Linked DNA regions of Drosophila melanogaster. The gene in region 1 interacts genetically with each later gene. Each region holds a gene or a part of one and is shown in the gene's direction. Other genes may lie near its edges. The genes, in order: bnl, Vhl, trol and sr.

Evidence for each region.
Region 2: of bnl (region 1) and Vhl, changing one suppresses a phenotype caused by changing the other (phenotypic suppression), as found in Drosophila melanogaster (one study listed by BioGRID).
Region 3: of bnl (region 1) and trol, changing one enhances a phenotype caused by changing the other (phenotypic enhancement), as found in Drosophila melanogaster (one study listed by BioGRID).
Region 4: of bnl (region 1) and sr, changing one enhances a phenotype caused by changing the other (phenotypic enhancement), as found in Drosophila melanogaster (one study listed by BioGRID).

Annotation. Positions count from the first base shown.
Region 1 is NT_033777.3:19,833,288-19,838,615, reverse strand, and holds the start of bnl (branchless), read left to right. Parts: upstream 1-1,798; 5' UTR 1,799-2,354; intron 2,355-5,328.
Region 2 is NT_033778.4:11,277,807-11,281,990, forward strand, and holds Vhl (von Hippel-Lindau), read left to right. Parts: upstream 1-1,918; 5' UTR 1,919-2,071; coding exon 2,072-2,608; 3' UTR 2,609-3,227; downstream 3,228-4,184. Other genes in the region: Cpr47Eg (cuticular protein 47Eg), read right to left, coding at 179-520, 589-600; CG9067 (uncharacterized protein), read right to left, coding at 1,130-1,175, 1,240-1,319, 1,385-1,472, 1,533-1,702, 1,757-1,789; CG9062 (uncharacterized protein), read right to left, coding at 3,301-3,344, 3,468-3,573, 3,632-3,826, 3,889-4,084, 4,154-4,184. UniProt on the Drosophila melanogaster protein: Involved in development of tracheal vasculature. Probably involved in halting cell migration at the end of vascular tube outgrowth.
Region 3 is NC_004354.4:2,541,989-2,547,594, reverse strand, and holds the start of trol (terribly reduced optic lobes), read left to right. Parts: upstream 1-2,167; 5' UTR 2,168-2,212; intron 2,213-2,686; exon of another isoform or gene 2,687-2,832; 5' UTR 2,833-2,971; coding exon 2,972-3,130; intron 3,131-5,606.
Region 4 is NT_033777.3:18,088,972-18,094,122, forward strand, and holds the start of sr (stripe), read left to right. Parts: upstream 1-1,831; 5' UTR 1,832-2,483; intron 2,484-5,151.

The DNA of each region.
Region 1 (5,328 bases):
ACAAGCAAAAGCGCAGTCCACAAAATTCTTAATATGTTTCATAAATCATTTCTACACAACATAATCTAACAAATATTTTCAAAAAATTGTAAGTACCAAACACGATAGATGACACGATAAACAATATTTTATGGCTTTAATAAACAACATTGCCTTCTCAAAACTGCTACTTTATAGCAGTTATATAGTCTTAGCGACAATGTAAAACTTTGCCAATCAGTAGCAAGCCCGCACTTTCCACCGGCAACACCCACCCACTGAATGACGCTGTCATCAAGAATGACGTAGGCGACTACCCCGGAATATTTCTGCAATTTCTGTAGTGTCAAGTTGAAGTTCATTCATACACACATATGGGTATCTGCACCATGTGATTTTTTATAAGCGCCTTCTAAATAGATAAGATAAACTTGTATTCAACGAAATTCGCGCATAGCTGCCTTAACTTTTAAATTTGCCGTGTGACAGTATTTTTGGGGCTAAATTTTGGTCAACATCTAAAATTAGCAAAAATTTCGGTTGGTCAGAAATAGGTTTTGTGGTTTATTGCAGCCACAGGCAAATGAGTTGGTCAAAGTTCAAACCTTATCAGTGCGAATACAACGATGCGATTAGCACCTATCGTGAGTTGGCTTTCCCACGCGACTGATTCACTGGCAATGTTTAGCCGAATAATAAAGGGTACTGGGTGACGCTTGTTGTTGCACTTTGTGTTGTTAGTTAATTGGTATTTGTGCAAGTCCACGCTACCTGGCGAAATACGTCAAAAGCACTGGAAAAGGTCTACGCGCCAAAAAGCACAACCGCCACCAAACGCAATCCAATCAAAAACAAAAAGCAACTGCAATCTCTCCCTTTCACAATGTCTGTTTGAAAACCGTCACGTGATTTGTCGCCGTCGACTTAGGGGGCTCATTATAGTGACAGAACTCTAACAAAAATTAGTAGACTACTGTATTTTATATATATATATATATATATTTTTTTTTTTATATATAGAACATTTTAGTTGAGCTTTATGTTCGAAAGTTGTTTTTCTAGTGACAGATAACACCTTGTAGCCTACATTGTGGCCCAAAAAATTTCAGAATTTTCGGTTAGATAGTTACCATGTAACCGTTTAAGATATTTAGAGTAAGAAAAAGTAGGCTTCATAAATGATTAAGATGACTACAGTTAACCACCCCAAACACTAACAGAATTTGTTTGTTTTACTTAAAATCCAAAAATAATTTTCTAAATACAACAAATAAGTACACAAAAAATAAAAAAAAATTGATTCATATTTTGCATTTAATGTTTGAGTACAATGTTGAGCTAGTAACACAGTAGTTTTTAACCACTCATTAAAATTTATAATTTATTCAGCTACAAAGTATAAATTAGCAACGAACGAAATACAAATCTTTTATAACGGTGTTTTTGATTCTGACGCTAATGTATGATGAATCAACGAGTTGGCAGCGTTTCAATCACTTGAGCCGCAGTTTCGTCAGATCGGAAGGATGAATTGGGAATAACAGATAAACCCCATATCACACCTAGGGAACCGACCGACCACCATTCACTACAGCTGACCACCGACCACCATTCTTGGCGTTTACCTTACTCGCCCACTACTTGCTCTCACTCTCTCCGTCTCCCTCCCGCCGAACCGCACCGCATCGCACTCTCTCTCTCGTGCTCGTTCCGTCGCAAACGTGCTCGGCGTGAACGCACGAAGCGTCGCCTCATCGACAGGGTCTTTTTGCTCATGGCTTCAGTCTCTGACTAGCACGCTTGGGGAACACACAGTGAGCGGAGCGTCCGCAGTCGCAGTAGCACTCGAAGTCCGCTTATCCGCATCCGCAGCGTTTTCGAATTTTTCAGACCTACCATTCGATCCGATCCGATCCATCTGGCACATCCTAACCATCTCTAATCGTAACCCCATCATCGTGATCGCGTCCGTAATCGCTCCGTTTTAACGTACTCGATGTTCCGGTTTTGTGTGCAATCGTTTTCAAAGGAGATCGAAACAATAATCTCGGCGGATAGGAAATTTGAAACACGAATGTTCGTTTCGCAATCCAAGAGAGTCGTTACAATTTGAAAAGCCCGCAATAAAAAAAAAAAATCGTTTAGATGCGAGCAATTCGAAGATCGGAAAATATATAAAAAAATAAATATATATATATGATTTGTGCTGTGTTTGAAAAAGGAATATAAGAAAAAAATTATGAAAATGTTGAATTGTTGTTGCCGTAAGTTTTAAAGTGTGCAAAGTGCAACTCTCTGAAAATCAACGAAGAATACAACGCGTCCAAAAAAAGAATCGTAAAACTGAAAAAAAAGCAAACAAACATAAAACCTAGGTGCGTAATTTTCTGTTTCAACGCTGTTACATAAGTTCTTTTTTTTAATAAGTTTGTTGTTCCTCCAAGTATTTGTTCGAATGTTGCAAAATATTTCATTGGATTTCGGTCTTTGGAGCTTAGCAAAAGCAAGCCTAAAATTATTGAAAGTTTCAAGTTTGCCGAACGGAAAAAATATATGTTTTTCTGTATTATTAGATTTGATGTTTTGAAATACTAAAATTTATAAAGAGTTTCAGTGTTCTTTGGTCGCGCAATGTTGGGCATTTAAATAAAATATTTTGAATACGTTGAAATGTGGCAATTTGTTTGGTAACTTTCAAAATAAATTTAAAACATTTTCCACTTGGCAGCGGGCCGAGTAATAAGTGTATTTAAATGACCCACGAGGGAAAGTAATTAAATAGCAATATGTATAAAAACGAAATAAATTGATTTCAACAAACAAATAGCAAGCTAAAGCAAATGGGCAAAAACTTAATTTATATTAGTGGCATGCTAATTGAAATAATTTAGTTCATATTTGATTTGATTGATCAATACCTGTGCAGAATGATATTCACTTAAAACGTAATCTGATTGCATTTAGGTATAAGCGAATTAAATTTGATTTGCAGCCTAGTTTTTCCAAGTACTTTTCCGCGTTTATCTGCCCCAAATAAACAATTGGTAAAGCAAACAAAATGTAGCAAAATGTTTTTTTTTGCCAACCGGTGAAAGCAAACGACCTTAGGAGAACCCACTCTATGAAAGCGAAATTCATATAAATTTAAGCACACGATCTTTGGGATTATTTATAGTTTTTTTTTTTGCAAAACGCATATACATTTGCGAATCTTTATCGCCGTCTTGAAATGTATCTGTATCTGCGTATATGCGAATTGTGCGTATCTCTATTTGCAAACGCACGCAGGCGCTTTTAATCTCATTTCGCTAACTTTTTCGCAATAAACTTTTTTTCTGCTCACTCTGCGCGTGCACTTTTTGTCCTATAAATTGGCGGCGCTGACTATTATCTAACATTTGTGCGCTATTATCTAAGCTGGCTTGTTGTTCTTGTTCTTCCTGCGGATGATTTGCGCTGCGTATCTGTATCTGTATTTTGTATCTGTGTGCGAATTTGCGTTATTGCCGCACGCTAGTATGCGTCGGGTTCAACAACTGCTAATCACATGCCGGATCACAGTTTGGACAGCCGAGCGACAGACAAAGTGCGAAATATGGGGATCGCGATAAAGAATAAACTGAATGAATTTCGGCTGTGTGGACTAGCGGGTGATATCCTTCAAAATTAATGGCAGCGAAGAGTGCTTAACTCAAATCAGGGTCATTATTTGTAGAAGCTATTAACTATTTGGTATTTTCAGATTTTTTCTGGTCATTTTTCAAACTTATCTGGGGTCTAGGGAAAATATTAAAATTTTGGTTTATTACCTTTTACTTTCCTTTCATAACTTTTTTATTGGTTTACAATTGTTCCAGCAATAAGGGCTATTAGTTAGTATTATAATCAAGTTAATCTTTTTTGCTAACTTACATAAGCCATAATAAATCTTATCTTCTAATTCTAATTGTATAACTTATTAATAACCAAAAATAAGCGATAAAGATTCATACATTAATTATACATAATTGAATTGTGCCTCTTCAAATGCCGATCAAATTTTATTTCCTTTGCCGTTAAAGTTCTCACGTCACAATTTCATCAACTAAAAAATGAATATCCCCCAAGGGCAAAGAAAATAATTGGCTAATTGTTTAGTACCGCTTACGAAACGGTTTCTGGCTACGTCAACGATTGAATAATTGAAAAGACCACCGTAAATTTAGACATTAAGACATCAGTTTATGCAGAAAAACCAATTGAAGTGATTAAATTGCATGGGCAGTCCCGAATTAATTGAAAAGTAAATTTATATTTTGGTAGTAAAAGAGTTGCGCGTGGAATTTATATTTCCCCGGAGACTGTCGTGCATGCCTTCGGACTTCAGATGTCATAAAGCCAGCCAATTATCAGGTTTAGTTCTGAAACGCACGAGTTGGGTAACTTTTCGCTTGGGCCTGTGACACATTTACAAATTGTGCCTGATTGATGGGGCAGCAAGCCCAGTGGAGCCAAAGTTTGAAATACAACGATCATAATTCGTAGATAGATAAAGCTTATCGCATGCAAAAGAAAAAAGTTTTATGGCCGTGCGTAAATAGTTTTGCGGTTTGTTTTTCTTTTTGCCCAAAAGTGGCGCATAACACTCGGAATATAAAGTCAACCGAAGTCGGCGAAAGAAGGCGGAAAATGCGGGAAACTCAGTAAAAATGTAGCGTTTGTTTTAATTAAGCGTGAACACTAGACCACATAATGTGCGGCATACATTTAGAGACGCACACACACGATCGCACATGGCAACAGCTTTAGGTACACCGCTCAGTTAAAAAGCGAGCAACAAAAAGGCAAAATGAAAACGAGAAAATCGTCGCGTATTTTACTCAGGTTGTTGTTATTCTTGTTGTTTCTCTTTTTTTTTTGACGGTTTTCCTTCTTTTTTTACACATATATATATATTTTTTTTTTGGTTGTTTGACGCATTTTAAAAATATCCTAGACGCAATTGTTGTTTTGTTGGCTGTCTGTTTGTCACATTACTAATACGTCGCGTTGTCTTTGATTTCGTCGTTTTCGGTTGGTTTTATTTTAAAACGACGGTTTTCCTTTTAATTTTCGCACGTAAAGTGCGTGACTTTTAATTAGACTACAATAAATGTGCGAAATTGTGTGGGAGATGAGTCTGCCAGTGGGCAGTGTGTTGGTGAAGGCAAGAGATACATTTTAGGTGAGATACATGGTGAAGGTGACAGAAACCGACTTAAAGTCCTAGGGTACTTCCTGTTTTCAGAAAGAATATTTATAAACTAATATTTAAGCAAATAATTTTAACAAATGAAAAATGATTTGTTAACAAGTTTTTCATTTTGAACT
Region 2 (4,184 bases), on another chromosome or scaffold:
CCCATACATATTACGTACTAATATAATTCATCCGTCTGGTAGACCCTGACCAACAAGTTTCTGTCCGCTAATACGATGCGTATATATGTTTGTCTACTCGGTTTAAGAAGCGACAGTCCTTTTGGGAAGAAATTAAAAGTCTAGGAAAGTAAAGTTCAACACATTTATTTAACATTATTTATTGACTTGGGGGGTGGGCGGCGATGTACTCCAGAGAACGCTGGATGGCCTCTGGAATTGGTGGTGGGGTGGGCAGAGGAGGGTTGGCAGACACCACCTGGTAACCGTTGGCATCGGCGATATATTGGATGGACACTGGCACATTTTCGGGAGATGTCCACGACTGGCTTCCCTTCACCACCCACTCTTCGCCGTTAAGGTCACCCTTCTGTTGCACATTGACAGAGTTGTCCAGCTCAACAGCGTAAGCAAAGCCGTCAACATTCACTTGCTGCTCGGCACGGAGAACATTGGCATCTTCGTTGGCGAGGGCGACGGCCAACAGGCAGGCGAAAGCAATCTACAAGGATTGTAAATAACAAATCAGCTAGAATCATTAAAGGATCAATTTGCGATAAAGCCACTTACGAAGAACTTCATGTTGATTGTTGAAAGACTTGAGAAGGCTAACTGATATCGAACTGGAACTTCTGCCTGCTTTTTATATGATACTGATGCTCAGCTTACCTCTGCCGGTGGCGCCCAAGTTCAAGTCTAGAGACGCGTAGGATTTGATTTCATTAATTATGCATTAGATAAGACAAAATACATGTTTATGTGTGCCTCGTTATTGCCGTTCAGTTAAAGTTCGCATTGAATCCCATAATAATGCCCGAAACAGACGGAAGACGAGTTTGACGCGGAGACATTAACTAACTATGTGTCAACTAGCAGACACATTGTAAAGATATAATTAATTCTCGAATTATTTTTGTCAAAAATGTCGAATTAGCATAATATTTGGCTACGGCTAGCCAGCCAACGACCGGTTTGCGTATCTCCGGTGCGTATCTCTCTTGAGTCTAGCTTGGAGCGGGCACTTGGCCAGGCCACCTTGACATCCCTCCTAGAAAGACGTATGCATTTGATAAATAATTCGCTTTATTATTCGTTCAGTATTAATCTACAGCTAGGCAGTGCCGCTCATCAGTTTCTGGACAGCGCGATCGAACTTCCTGCAGATATAAAAGTAACGTATTAAGAGCAACTTATATATTCTTTAAGGAGAAGCCCGCTTACTTTGAAGTCAGCGATTCGCCGGGAATGTAAAAGGGATTGCAGATGGCATCGGTGTAGAGCAAGTGGAGATTTCGGAAGATCTGGAAGATACAGAGGGTAGGAGGTATTTGGGGCTTTCATTTAGATAGTTAGATTGGATACCCACTGCTCGAACTTCGTTTTCCCGAAGGGCAACGTTGCTGGAGTCGATGACCACTATGAATTTCACCCGAGTGTTGGTCACAAAGCCGTATCTGTAATGAAATCAACCACCAATCAGTTGCAAATTCACCAGCATAACTACACCCAAGTACATTTTGTGGTTCTCTGTCGAGTAGAGCAGTCCCAGGTACAGCTCCTTGGACTCCGGAGCACCCTTGCCAATCAGGCACTTCTCCTCCACGACGTCTAAGGCGGCGTTAACATGATATTGCAATTCCAGTTCCTGCTCCATATCGGATGTGGTCAGGTACAGGGGGGCGTTCTGTGGGGAATTTGTCATGCAATTAATTGTATTCAAATGAAAAATAAAACTCACATCCTTGCCAATAACTGCTATGCAAAATGCCATATTTTGTTATTTCTTGGTGTTTATTTGTTTACTTTTCGCGAGAGGCGGAGGCAAATCAGCTGATTTACCCCTTATCGATAAGACATTCATCGAAAGTGTGGCCAGCTGCAGTGACACGCAGCAGGAAAAATGTTACCGTAACTGATAAGAAGTGAATTTTATCTATACTTGTTGTTAGCTTGTTGTGATTTGATTCAATCCAATTCCCACGGCTTGTGCAAACGTAAAACAACGAAAATTGATTTGGCAGCCATTGCAGATCGGCTTAGCACCCTGCTGGAGATGGCGCTCCAAATAGCGCAGAACAACCGCGACGGCCAGCAGCTGGTGGGCGCTGATCAGGGAAAGGTGGAGGTGTACGTGCTGTTTGCAAACACCACCTATCGCACCCTGGATCTGTACTGGGTGTGCGAGCGGGAGCGGGAGAACATGTACCTTACCCTCAAGCCCTTCGAGGAGGTGCGGGTGAACACGTTCACCACACACAGCTGGCTGTTCCGGGATTACTACACGGGCGAACGGATGCACGTACGCTCGCAGAGGATCTTTCAGCCGATTCGGGTGCGGGTACCCAAGAGCCAGCAGAGTCCGGATCAGCTGGTTGACGTACGCAGCGAAGTGCTGATCCACTTTCCGATGAGATCGCTGCGCGAAAACTGCCTCTGGCTGGTCGCCCGCTGGCTGATCCGGACGAGCAACGCGCCACGGAGGATTATCCACGGATACCACATACCCTCGACGCTGAAGCAACAGCTGCTCAGCCTGCTGACCTGCATCGAGTCCTATTCCCGAGTGGCGGGCACGCGACGTCGGCGTTAGGAGCACACTCCTAGTTGTTAGTTAAGAGGGCGGGTAATCATCTTAGGGACTGAGAGACAGGCTTGATTTCCAAATAATTTAATAACTTTAATTGATTTCCATCCTGGTTTTCGATTTTCGCTTATTACTTATGTACAAATTGGCTTGCATAGAGCTCTTTACAAGTTGGGCTACTACCATTGCATTGATTTTTCTGTATATTTAACAGATTTCTTATACCTATGTATGTTCTATGTAAATAATTATGTATAAACCTAATGTGAAACAAGTGTGAATATTACATACATACATATATGCGCAATACTCTAGGTCTAGTTGCTTCAGATGCAAATACGATTTAATGGTATGTCTGCAGTTACTCCTTTGCAATGCTTATCTACGTGTGTCGCAAGCCTAATTGTTATAAGTCTGAATCTGAAGTACATATTTATTCCTAACGAGAAGTGAACAAACAAAAGTACTCCGGTGCACTTTTAAATTTAAAGTTAACGCTCGTACAGATTCTCCTTGAATGTGTTTGTGTTTGTCCACGAGTCGAGTCGAGAAGAGATGAGACGAATCGCAGGTTAACTCAAATATATTGCAAAATCAACTTATAAAAATATAAATTGTTAATCGATCTGCTCAATCTCGTTCTCATTCAATAATGCATCGGTACTGCTTCGGTTAGGCGGGAGATCACTTGCCAGCGTTCAATACTTGCGCGTCACGCGCTCCAAGCTATCCCCGATCGAACCTATGGGGCGGATATATATAAGCACAACTCTCGGTTAGGCAATAGCAATTGCAGAAATCAAGTATGCGTTGTGTTTGTGATAGGTGTTCTTGTGTTGTTCAATGCGTGGGCTCTCTTATTTACCATCGTAGTTGAAATTCTGTTTGGTCTTGTACTGAAACGTTAGATCGGTCGACTGCTTCCAGATAAAGTGGCGCACCGTGCGCAGGTCCATGTTGGGGTCCACAACCTTTAAAGGAAAGGCGGTGAACAAGGTCCTTTAAATGAGATTTGTCCATTTGTCTTACCACATCGTTACACCACAGTTCAATTCGTTCCTCAGCTGGCAGTTGGGATCCCTCCGAATTAGCATCGCTCTGGCTATTCTGCAGTGAATTGTTAGCATTGCCCCCACTTGGGGTAGTTTCCGCATTCAGCACCTTTTCAAGCACGTGCTCGCAGACCTTGCGACACTGAATAAATTCATTAGCCACAAGACGATCCTAAAAAATTTAATATAAATTGCGTTAGAACATGAGTTTTGTTTGCTGTCAAGGACGGCTACCTTCTTCGTTCGTTCAGGCTTGGTCATTTGCGGGTGAGGCTGCAGGAAGAACGGTATTTTGAGGAACTTGGGAATGTTCTTCTCGATCACCACGTCGGTCACCCACTGAGGCGCCGTTTCGTGGAGCAGGGTACTTTCGCTATCGCCAGCTGCGTCGCGTACCAAAAGTCGGCAAACAGTGCGGCCACCCACTTCACTGTTTAATTTAGCCAGAAATTTGAGAAATTAGTTATGGTGCAGATAAGGTTATATCACAGTCACTAACCTAAAGATGACGGGCGTGTGCTTGGGCACTT
Region 3 (5,606 bases), on another chromosome or scaffold:
GACAGGGATATCTTCATTGTTGTCAAAAGGATATATGGACAAATGGAAAATAACCCTTAAATCTATTATTAAGCACTTCAAAAAAATGTCATTTTCTGGATTGTCCGTGTGGCCACATTTGACAACCAATTTGACAAGTAGATGAGATCCTGTAAGTCACCTATTTCATAAACTCTTAATGTGTGATTAAATTGAAACAGCTTGTTCTTTAATAATTGAATTTTATTCAGTTAAAAACTTATACTTTTGGTGGCAAACGCTTTAGGAAAGCTTTTTTGTTGACTTGGCTAAAAGCTTTTGTGCAATGGCTCTCAAACTGTAGCTAGCTTTCGATTGCAAATGTGGCTAACAGAATCGTGTACTCACCACTCGACGACTGTGGTGAGTTCGGTAAATTAAAAATATTTTTTTTTTTTTTTTGTTTTTTGGTTTTTCTCACCGTTGATAACCTTTATAGGTTACGGACTTAGGTTGATAATTCTAATTGTTTCAGCACTTGCTCCAATTTTGATGTGATAACATTTGACTCCCTAAATTGAATGAAATGCTCGAGAGTGCACACATGTCTAAATATTAAATGATTTGAGCAGTTGAAAAAACAAGTGCTACGAAAGTCGAACAGATGTCATTGCTTTTCAATTGAAGAAAATATGTTCAAGAATCGCACTGCGACCAATAAAACATTGAAATGAATTTGTGCACAATTTTACTAAAATTTATAATGTTATCTTATCACTAATTTATAAACTTAACACCTAGGCAAAGCTCAATATTAAGCACGTATTTGTGTATTTGGTGTCTATCTAGCTAATTTCTCCAAGTGTATACAGACCATTGCCATTATTTTCAATAGCGTATTCAACAATTTTCTGCGTGTATTTTTAGTACCTTTTCTTATCTGCGAACGGAAGCTGTGGCCACTTGTGAGCGTTCACCATTTAAATATTAAATATATTTTACATTAGCAAAGGCGAAAAAGGGGAGGAACAGGGAAACGAACCTGAGGAATGGGCCAATTATTCCAGGAGATGGGGCCCTAAAAAATCGCAACGTGTCCATTGGTCCTCCATGTGGGGCGTCGGCATCCAAGTCCGGTAATTCACCCTCACGCATGCGTCATTTTCGGATGTCATTGGGTCAGGCGCCAATGGGAAGCCGCCTTTTTGGTGGTGTTGACAGGGGGGGGGGGGGTGGTGGCTAAATCGGCTGAAGGTCACGGATTGTGGCCGGTCCTATGGCCAGTTGACAAACCGACTTAACCGCCAAAGCCGACGAGCCCGAAATGCTAATATCACATGGATGTCCGTCCTGCCAAACTTGTATTGTGTTGAATATTTAAAATAGTGCTTTGCATCAATTTTAGACCGATGACTGCACATTTAAGATGATTTGCTCACATGGTTGTATGTATGTTTTAGGTGCGCCAAGAATTAATTGTCCATAAACACTAATATTCGTAGGAACAGCGAGTAAAGGCTATAAAGTTCGTGTTTCAAATACGTTTTCACTGGTGTTTGGCTTTCCTACGCGAATTGCATCAGCATTTTATTGGACTCTCCTTTTTTTTTGAGTGTCAAATTCAAAGAACTTCAATAAAAAAATGTGCGAGGAGAGCGCCGCTTTTCGTGGGAGTGAGTGGGATAATTTGCAAACCGGCTGCCGCAGCAACAACGAAAGGTGAAAAGAGAGCAAGGAGCAACGGTTTTCACTTGTTTATCAGTTGACCCAGAGAGCGAGAGCCACTTGGGCGGGTGTTGAGTAAAAAAAAATGGGGGAGGGGGGGCTTACTATCCAACTAAAGTGATAGTTACTTTTTTTTTTCTATCGTTACGGCCTTAAATGCTGCTTTAGCCGACTGGCTAAATCGCGACTACGCTCCGCAAATAAGGATGGACAGGCAGAGCGAGAGGAGAGAGAGCAGGCGCAGCTAACTCTGCGTAAGCGGACACCCACGCATGTGAGCGAGAGAGGGATAGAGGGAGAGGGTAAGGGAGAGAGAGAGTGCGGTGCATCGACGCAACAGGCTTGCAATGGCCATTAAGCGCCGTTAAACAATAACAAGAGCACGCAAATCGCTTCGGCTCCGTCGCGCTTTCGGCCTTCGTGCGTCTTCGGGCGACGCCGGCAGAGCAGAGGCAGCGATGGGAATCGCAGCAACGGTTCTTAGACATTAGGTTGCGCGCCATCGTTCCAGGCGGTCGCACATTCCACGGTGTGCTGTCCCTTTGTTTTCTGTGTGACTCTGACTCTCTTGTGGGGAGCGTTTGTCTTTTTTTTTTTTTGAGTGCTCTCACATCCTCGAAGTGCCGAAATTTTGAAAATCCCCGACAAGATATCCTGGTGATATCGGTTCAACGTTTAAACAAAAACCCAAGCCCTGCTCCTTTTTTTTCATTCATTAACTAGTGTGATCCCAAAAAGGAACCCATACTCGCAACGAATACGAATAGTGTCCATCGCGTGTGAAACGAAACTAAAGAATAAGGAATGAAACAAGAAAATAAAGCGAAAAGGCGGAAAAGCGAACAGAAAGAGGGGAAACAAATATCGGCTCGTCCAGGAGCGAACAGATGATCAAAGGGGATCATTCGGATTTTTCGAAGAAACTTCTGAAACATGACGGTTTCTCTGGTTTTTAATTCGGATTTGGTTTCACCAAAGCCAAAAAATTTTGCTGATGTCAAATCACCGATTTGCTTCCCCTTTTTCCGTGCGCGGAGAAAAAAATCCCCAGAAACATAATATCAGGATGCTCTCTATCTCTGTCTCTGTCTAACGCTTAATTGTTGCTCAATTGCGAATTAATGTCTGGGGCTTTTTTTCTCCGTGCAGTGCCATAGCCGTAACCACAACCTGCCAGCCGTTTAAAGCCAAACTAAACAAAACGAACCGAAACTGCCTTCACAAAGTACCTAAGCCAAACCTAAATAGCTGCCAAAAGAAACCAAAACCGCCGTTACCCGGAAAAGAGATGATGGGATCGCCGGGATCCCAAGCGTCCGCGATCGCGACCTCGGTCGGAATCAGAAGCGGGCGGAGAGGTCAAGCGGGAGGATCGTTGCTCCTGCGCCTCCTTGCCGTGACCTTCGTCCTCGCCGCCTGCCACGCACCGCTGCTGACCAATGCCAAGGTGAGTTCGACCCTCTTGTTGGGATATGTAGTATTATAATTATTACATTGCTATTTGAGGCCCAGGAATGCAGTTAACAATTTGATTAGTTCTATTCGGTGACATGATCCTAACAGCCGCTTACCATTCACATGACCATTGCCCATCAGCTGATGCACATCCCATTCGAGATCGGTAACCCAATGATCTCTTATTCCGGATGACACAACTCTGGGTTCCGCGACGAACTTGAACTATTTAGCATGACACACATACGAGTATTGTTTTTTTTTCCCAATAGGCGGGACAGACAGACACAAAACGAGCGCCACCAGTGATTAGCATAAAAATGTATTTATTGTAAGTGGTTTGGAAAATAGTTTTCCTCCACTCGCCATCAAATTAGGAAGTTGAGCCGGGCTTCGAGGCTTCAGGGTTTCGGAGCTCGGTTACGGACAATGTTAAGGACCGGATTTCGAGTTGAGCAGAGGCCAAAAAAATAGATCACCAAGTCCATTGGGCCGGGGTCATCATCGCAGGTTATCACTCTCTCGAAAAAACAGACGCTGAATTAATTTCTTTTCACAAATTCGGATCGAGTTCAGATGCTGGCTTTTGAATTTGATGCGATTGTGTTCGGATGGCTTTGCCAATTATTATGAGAAGTCGATTGTTTCAGTTCCAAATTCTATCTTTGTGCCTGAAGGAGGGAGGGGTCGCTGTGTGTGTGTGTGCGAGTGTGTGTGTGTATGTTTTCCACCATAATGAGCTTTGATGATAGCGCGTTATCAGCGTGTTAATGACATGTTGCCCACAGACATTTGCTTGCAATGAAATAATTTCTTTAATTAACATTTAAAATCACTGAACGTTTGTGAATGTTTCAATGGCTTTTGTGAACGGACGGCAGTACCTGCTGGACAATTCTGGTACTCTGCTTGATTTTGTCGAGCATGTCGTTTCCATTCGATTTGTTTTGCTGCAGCGCTCACACTTTTTATCACATCGGAAGTTGCGTAAATGAGGCCAAATTCGAACACATGTACACATACATACATACGGGGGCTATGTCGCCTGCTCAGGGCTTATCGGTGGGACTGGGACTGGGAGTGGGACGGGAATGGGAGCCACACTTTGAAGAAGGAACCACTGCAAATCGGACTGCAAACGAGGTCACTGCTGCAGCACGATAGCTCCATCCTCCGCTTTTGCCCATCCGGCGTATGCGTATTGCCGGTCATCGGACATTGCGCATACGATCAGGTGGCACGGTGCCCCTTGGGGCATTCGATATCGTTTATCTTGGGTTTTATTCGTTTTTAAATTGATAGCTGAACTTGACTGAAAAGCACATATGCTAGCTATCAATAATCAGTTTAAACACCATACGTTATGTCACCATTCCTTTCTTTTTGGCAAACTGTGCAACTCGCCACTGATTCCATAGTGTTTCTTGAAAGTCTGAAGCGCAAAGTACAACTCACTGCATATGGCAACTTCTGATGCTTCAAACTGATATTCGCCTGGCAAGCGAATTGTGCTGCTCTGTTTACATCGACAGATGGGTCCTCATTCGATGGCCCTTTTCCGGCTTTCCAAGGGTATCCGATCCCTCACCCCCCACCCTTCTTGGCCCTTGGCTTGTATATCGCTCATCACATCACGCCCCGTTGTGTGCCCCGATATCTGTCAAACAAACTGTCAAAATATTTGCATCATCAACAACACAACTGCAAAGCGAATAAGAAAAAAAAAAAAAAAAAAATTAAAGCACAAAACGGCAGCCAACAGATGAGAAAATATCATTTCGCAGCTTTTTTGACTCGCCCGTATCGTTTTGGTTTCTTTTTCAGCTTTTCGGATTATGTTTTCTTTGTTTTTCATTGGTCTGAAGATGCGTTCGTTGGCACATTCCCTTCGGTTTTCAGTTCTCCTTGTTTTTCGGTTTTCTGGTTTTCTTGTTTCCGTGGCTTCACGGTTTCTGTTTGTTTGTGCAACATATGGACACAAGATGTTGTACCCCCGATCACACATGTGACCGGCTGCTTGGCTGCCTGGCTGTTTGTGTATCTGCCTCATTCTGCTGGCCTTATTGAATCGCTGGGAAATGGCCTTTAAGTTGAAAAGGCGTGGATCAGTTGATTTCAATATAAGCTAATACCTTCAATCAAGTTTCACTTGCCGAATAAAATGTTTTTTTTTTTTTTTTTTTGCAAGTAAAATATGTAACATTTGTATATAGCCCAACCTCTTTTCCTGTGTACCGAAAACATTCGCACAGCGATCACATGCAGTTTCACGGGAAGCGTCATGCGAGCATTTGTTTAAATATTACGCTGGGGCTGTCTAATACACCAACCCACCAACCCTACACCCCCCCTCACCCACTTGAGCTCAAGTTCAGACATTGACCAAGGGGCGGGGACTCGATAAGGAGGCGGGGCCGCGGGGGCAGAGACAACTGGCACACTTAAAACTGTTTATGCGAGATGTGCGA
Region 4 (5,151 bases), 1.7 Mb from region 1:
ACAAAGTATAAGCCTTATAAGGTGGCGAGCTAATTGTGCTGGCCTTTGTTATTACTATTGCATGTGTCACATTCTGAATGAGCAATTACAGTTAATAAGAGTACAAATGTCAAATGTCCGATGTGGGCGATTCGGCTAAGTATAATTAATTTGACTTGGGACTTGGGTTTCGCTCAGTGTAAGACACTTGAACTAATTGACAAGTTTCCATATATAAGCATTTTGTGAATGAATGAATTCGAGTTTTCAGTTGTGAAGGGGGGGGGGGGGGTAAAATATGAATATGATTAGAAGCCAAAGTGCGAGTGTGTGTGTGTGTGTGTCTGTGTAAGGTGAGCTTGGTGGGCGTTTTTAACTCGGCTCTCCGTCTCTTTCTAGCCGCGTTTCGCTGTCTCTTTTCGAGTTTTCATTCACAATCTAATGCCGGGCTTGATCCACACCCACATTATTTAAAGTGGAGCAGTGCACAGAGGGGCTCTGTCCTTGTCTCTTTCTCTTCCAGTAGCTCCATCTCTTTCCGCTTCCTTTCTCCACCTGCACCCTTTCTATCGCTCTGTCTCTTTCTGCGAGCACAGCTGCAGTATTTTGCAATTCAATTTGCAGTCAGCTGAAAGAGCGAGAGGTAAAAGTATGAATTTATCAATGAAACCACCCACGTGACCCCTTTGTATATACACATGTGTGTGTGTGTGTATGTGTGTTTGGCGTTTTTTTTGTGTGTGGGTGTGCGTTTCTGTGGGTGCTGTTGCCTCTAAAGCTTTTTTCTAAGGGGGCCCAAGCTTTTTTCAGCCAATTAGCTTTCGTTGGTGTTATTTTTAGCTGACTAGCTTTCCAGCAAAAGCTTTCAGGATTGATAGACGAATTTGGATTTCGATTCCAGGAAAACCCTTAAAGTTTACTGCATCCGTAAAAATCCTGGCTAAAATATGTATGTACATATGTATGTCTGTTTGCACAAGTGCATTGAATGACGCAGATTCTACAAGTATCCCTATGAAAGGGTTTTGCACACGTGGAGGGGGTTTTGATTCTACTAAGAGGGTTGCGATCAAGAGTGTTGGCTAAATGTGTGGGCTTTTAGACCGAGGAAAGCCCACACAACCACTCGTAGAACTTGGCACGTTCCGGTGCACTGAAAACAATTTAAGATGACTTAAATGAAGATTATTGATAAATAAATAATTCCTATTTACAAAACACTTCTTCTAATGTCAATGAAAATATTACATATATTGGTTTACTAACAGCTGAAGAGGATTTAGAAATACCAATTATTTAGTTTAACTAAGATGAAGGCACGCAGGACATTTTTGACACTCACACTTCTTTTCAGTGTAGGAAAACGGCTTAAGAGTAATCCAAAGGTGTTACAGCCTTATGCTAGGCGATAGAAGCTCAGCGAGAGAGAAAAGCACTTTGAGGCGTTGCGGGGGTTGTGTGTGTGGTTTGTGGTGTTTGTTGTTTGTTGTTCGTTGTTCGTTGCCCCACCGGCAATCCCCCGGTCATGAGTGCGACGAGGACGGCTAGCTTAGCCCGTCCGCATGTACAGTTGTGCCCACACACGGCAGCAAGAACAACAACAACAACACTCAGACGAGGCATCTCAACTGGGCGACAGATCTCTAAGTAAGGCGATGATCAGCCCACGACTGCCACACACTCACACACTGCCATCGCAAACGGATACAGATACAAAGCCACGTACAGGTACAGATACAGTGAAACCGAGGCAAAACAGTCAAGGCAGCGCTGCAAAGCGAAGCAAACCGTATTTTTTAATACCGCCGACAGTCGGACGACGGATTGAATCGCAAAAAAAAAACGCATCGCAACCGGAAGGAAATTATCGTCTAATAAGTTGAGCACAATAAATTCGAGAATAAAAAAAAGAGCAGGGGATCTTATAGCCCCGATTTACGCGCCCTGTGCATGAGATCGTTAAGCGAATTAAGCCGAAAGATAGCCCGTAGCCCAATATCTCGACTAGCCCATCAAATTGCGTGTTTCAAATCAAAATTGCATAATCTGCACCGAAGAAGCCGGGAACTAGTTGCCAACTCTTCGCTAGCCAACGAGATCGCGATTACAGCCGGTGGATATCTTTCGCGTAATCGCAGTAGCTACGTCGCTTCCTTTGACTTGGCCACGTTCTATACAGCTGCGCATCTTATCTTATGCTTGGCCATCTGAAGTTTCAGAGTCGCAGTTGGCAGTAGTTGTTGCAGTTGCAATCGCGGTTGCGGTTTATAGTGAGTCGCGCGTGCGTTCGCCTTTTTGGCCCGCCTCGTAATTAATTACAAACGCAGTCGCGCGATCCGCAATCCGCGCGACTGTTGGACTACAGATGAAAATCCCAACGATCCTGCCTATTTACGCGCCCAAATCTTGATGCCCTAGCCAGACCAGCTTTCTGGGCGCTTGCGTGCTCTGTTGTCGCCGACTTGCCTCCGAATCGACGACATCTGATTGCCTTTTTATAGCTGGTAAGTAGTAGTAGTAGTAGACCCTGCCTATATTGCCCAGCCATCCACCATCGACATCTGAACAAGTATATTAATGGTTACAGCGGGAAAGGGGTGATTGTCGGTTTGGTTATGGCCTCTAATGGCCTTTAATTGGGGCGAAAGCCAAATATAAGGCTTTATTACATATATATGATGGGGAAAATTGAAGCGGGGCCGAATTTATTACGGTCATGTTACATTAGTTTTAATTTATTAATAAATTGTACGAATATTGCCCGAAAACATATATTCGTAAATCCAAATTATTTTATTGGATGATTTCTTAAAATAATTCAATAAAGGTAATTAACATAAAATATTTTGTGATTTTCATAAATTCCTATTTCACAAAACCATAAAGGTTTTTAGCCATTAGCTAAACCAGATTTGTTTTCTATTTAATTATTAAATATAAAAATTCATTCAATATTTGTAGTCTCATTGAAAAACCTTACATTTTTAATGATGAATGAGATGGAAAAGATTACACATCTTCGAAATTTCTGTACAAACCGAATCGAATGAGATCATTTTGCATAAAATTATTTACACATTCCTTAATATTTAGGAGCTGTTTTTGCCAAATACCATTTGCAGATAGACTCCATTTGCATTTCGAAAGAAACCTGGTTTTTTTATGAAGCCGTCGAATGTTCGAGAAGTCAATTGAATTTCGTGGTTTACCTCCATTCAATATGAATGGAAATAATAACTAAAATTAAAACTAATAAAAATATACAAAGATAAGGCTTAATATAATGATTTATGAAACTTTTACAACATATTGGTTGTTTTAAGTATACTTTTGTTGGCCTCTTGTTTATCTTTTTTAATGGAAAACTCAAAGAACAGCCTTGCAACAACTTCTTTTTGGCTCAAACACAAGCTATTTGACTGAATGACGAATTGCTGGTTATGGCCTAAAATATGAAGGACGTTAGTATGCGTAGCCCACGCGATACATATGTATTTGCACTCCTGCAGAGCGACACGTGCGTAAAACAAATCAATTAGCGCTGCCACATGAAAAGGTTAAAAGTCACGTACACGTGTTCCGTGTGCGAATGTGCGAGGGGCACAGCGCGGGGAATGCTGCTCATATGTATAAGGTCAACCGGCAATTGGTAGCCGCAAATTTTCTGCAACAAGTTGAAATTGCCTGGCTAATTAAACACGCAGGTGTAACGAATCCAGCCAAAGCTTCCGGCCAAATAATGCGGTTTAAATGGAGTCAGGAGCAGCTGACATTTGAAGCGACTCCCCCACAAAGGGGCAGAGAAACGGAAGGCAGGACCTTCTCCTGTGAATACCGAAATATCAAAGTTCAACCGGATAACAGGGCGAGCTTCTTTGGGTTCAGCTGCTCTATTCGCTTAGCGGAAAATCAGGAAAATTTATGAATGAACTTCTAGTTGAGCGGACACATCAACGGGAGCTTTTTTCATTGATAAGCTCAATTCAGTTTTTCGCTTTCCATTCCATTCATATATTTATCCGAATGTGACCGGCAACCTTTGGTCTGCCATCGATTGGCGGGCGGTGGGTTGGCCAAAGAGCAACAGGAGCCTCCAGCCGCAGGACATCCCACACACGTGGCAGACGTTTCGGGAAAAGGGCAAGGCACCAGCATCCTGTATCCATTCTCCCGAGACTCTTCTCGAGTGGAAAATGCTAGTAGCTTCTGGCTTCCTTCTGCACAGTGGTTCAAATCAGTCTTCAAATGTGTACAAAAGCTTTGGGTACCTATCAGCTATTAACTATTTCAAATCGTGTAATATAGTGTATATAATATAATAAATAGGGTTTATAGTGTAATTGTTTTAACTTTTCAATTTAGTAAATATTTATGACCACACTGCGTATGATTAATATAAAGCAATTGATTAATTTCTCACATTATAATATTTTGAATAATAGAAAGTATTCACAACTTTGCCTTACACATTAACATTTAGAGATTTTCTTTTTTCCCGAATACATTTATTCTAACAGTATTCATGGGCAGTATTAGCCCACTGTGCCGTATCTGCCATTTAGCTGTGCCCCTGCCCTTAACTTCATCCTCATCTTCTAGTCAATAATATCTGACAGTGTGGGCGTTTAATCGCATCTATTAGCATCCCAGTCGAGCATTTTCTTACACGCCCACGCTGGAAATTATTTCCACTAGGAAAAGTGAAGTAGAAGTGGAGCACATTTGGCGAAATGAAGGCAGGCAATCAACAGGTCCAGCTTGGATAACCTTATTGTTCTCGTTTTCCCAGCCAACGAAAATGTCCCTTCGGTTTTTCCACCTTCCAGGAAGCGCTGTCCCCTCGTTATTATTATTATTAATATTATTATTTTTATTATTGCTCATTTGTTTCAGCGCTAGAGTAATGGAGCAGAACAGCACAGGATGGGACTTCCATTCCACTTGTGTAGCTGCCTTTTGATTGATGCTCGCAACCTCTAACCTTTAAATGTCATCGCAGGGACGAAGCTTTAGCTTCCACTGTGCAACTCTAATTGCCGTTTTGTTGATGGAGCGAACGGGGGCGTTTTAGCATTTAGCGTTTTGCATGTTTTTCGCTTTTTTTTTTTTGTTTGGTCCTTCTAAAGTTCGGTATTTGGGCCCTTCGAGTGTTTGGTTTTCGTGGAATTCCAC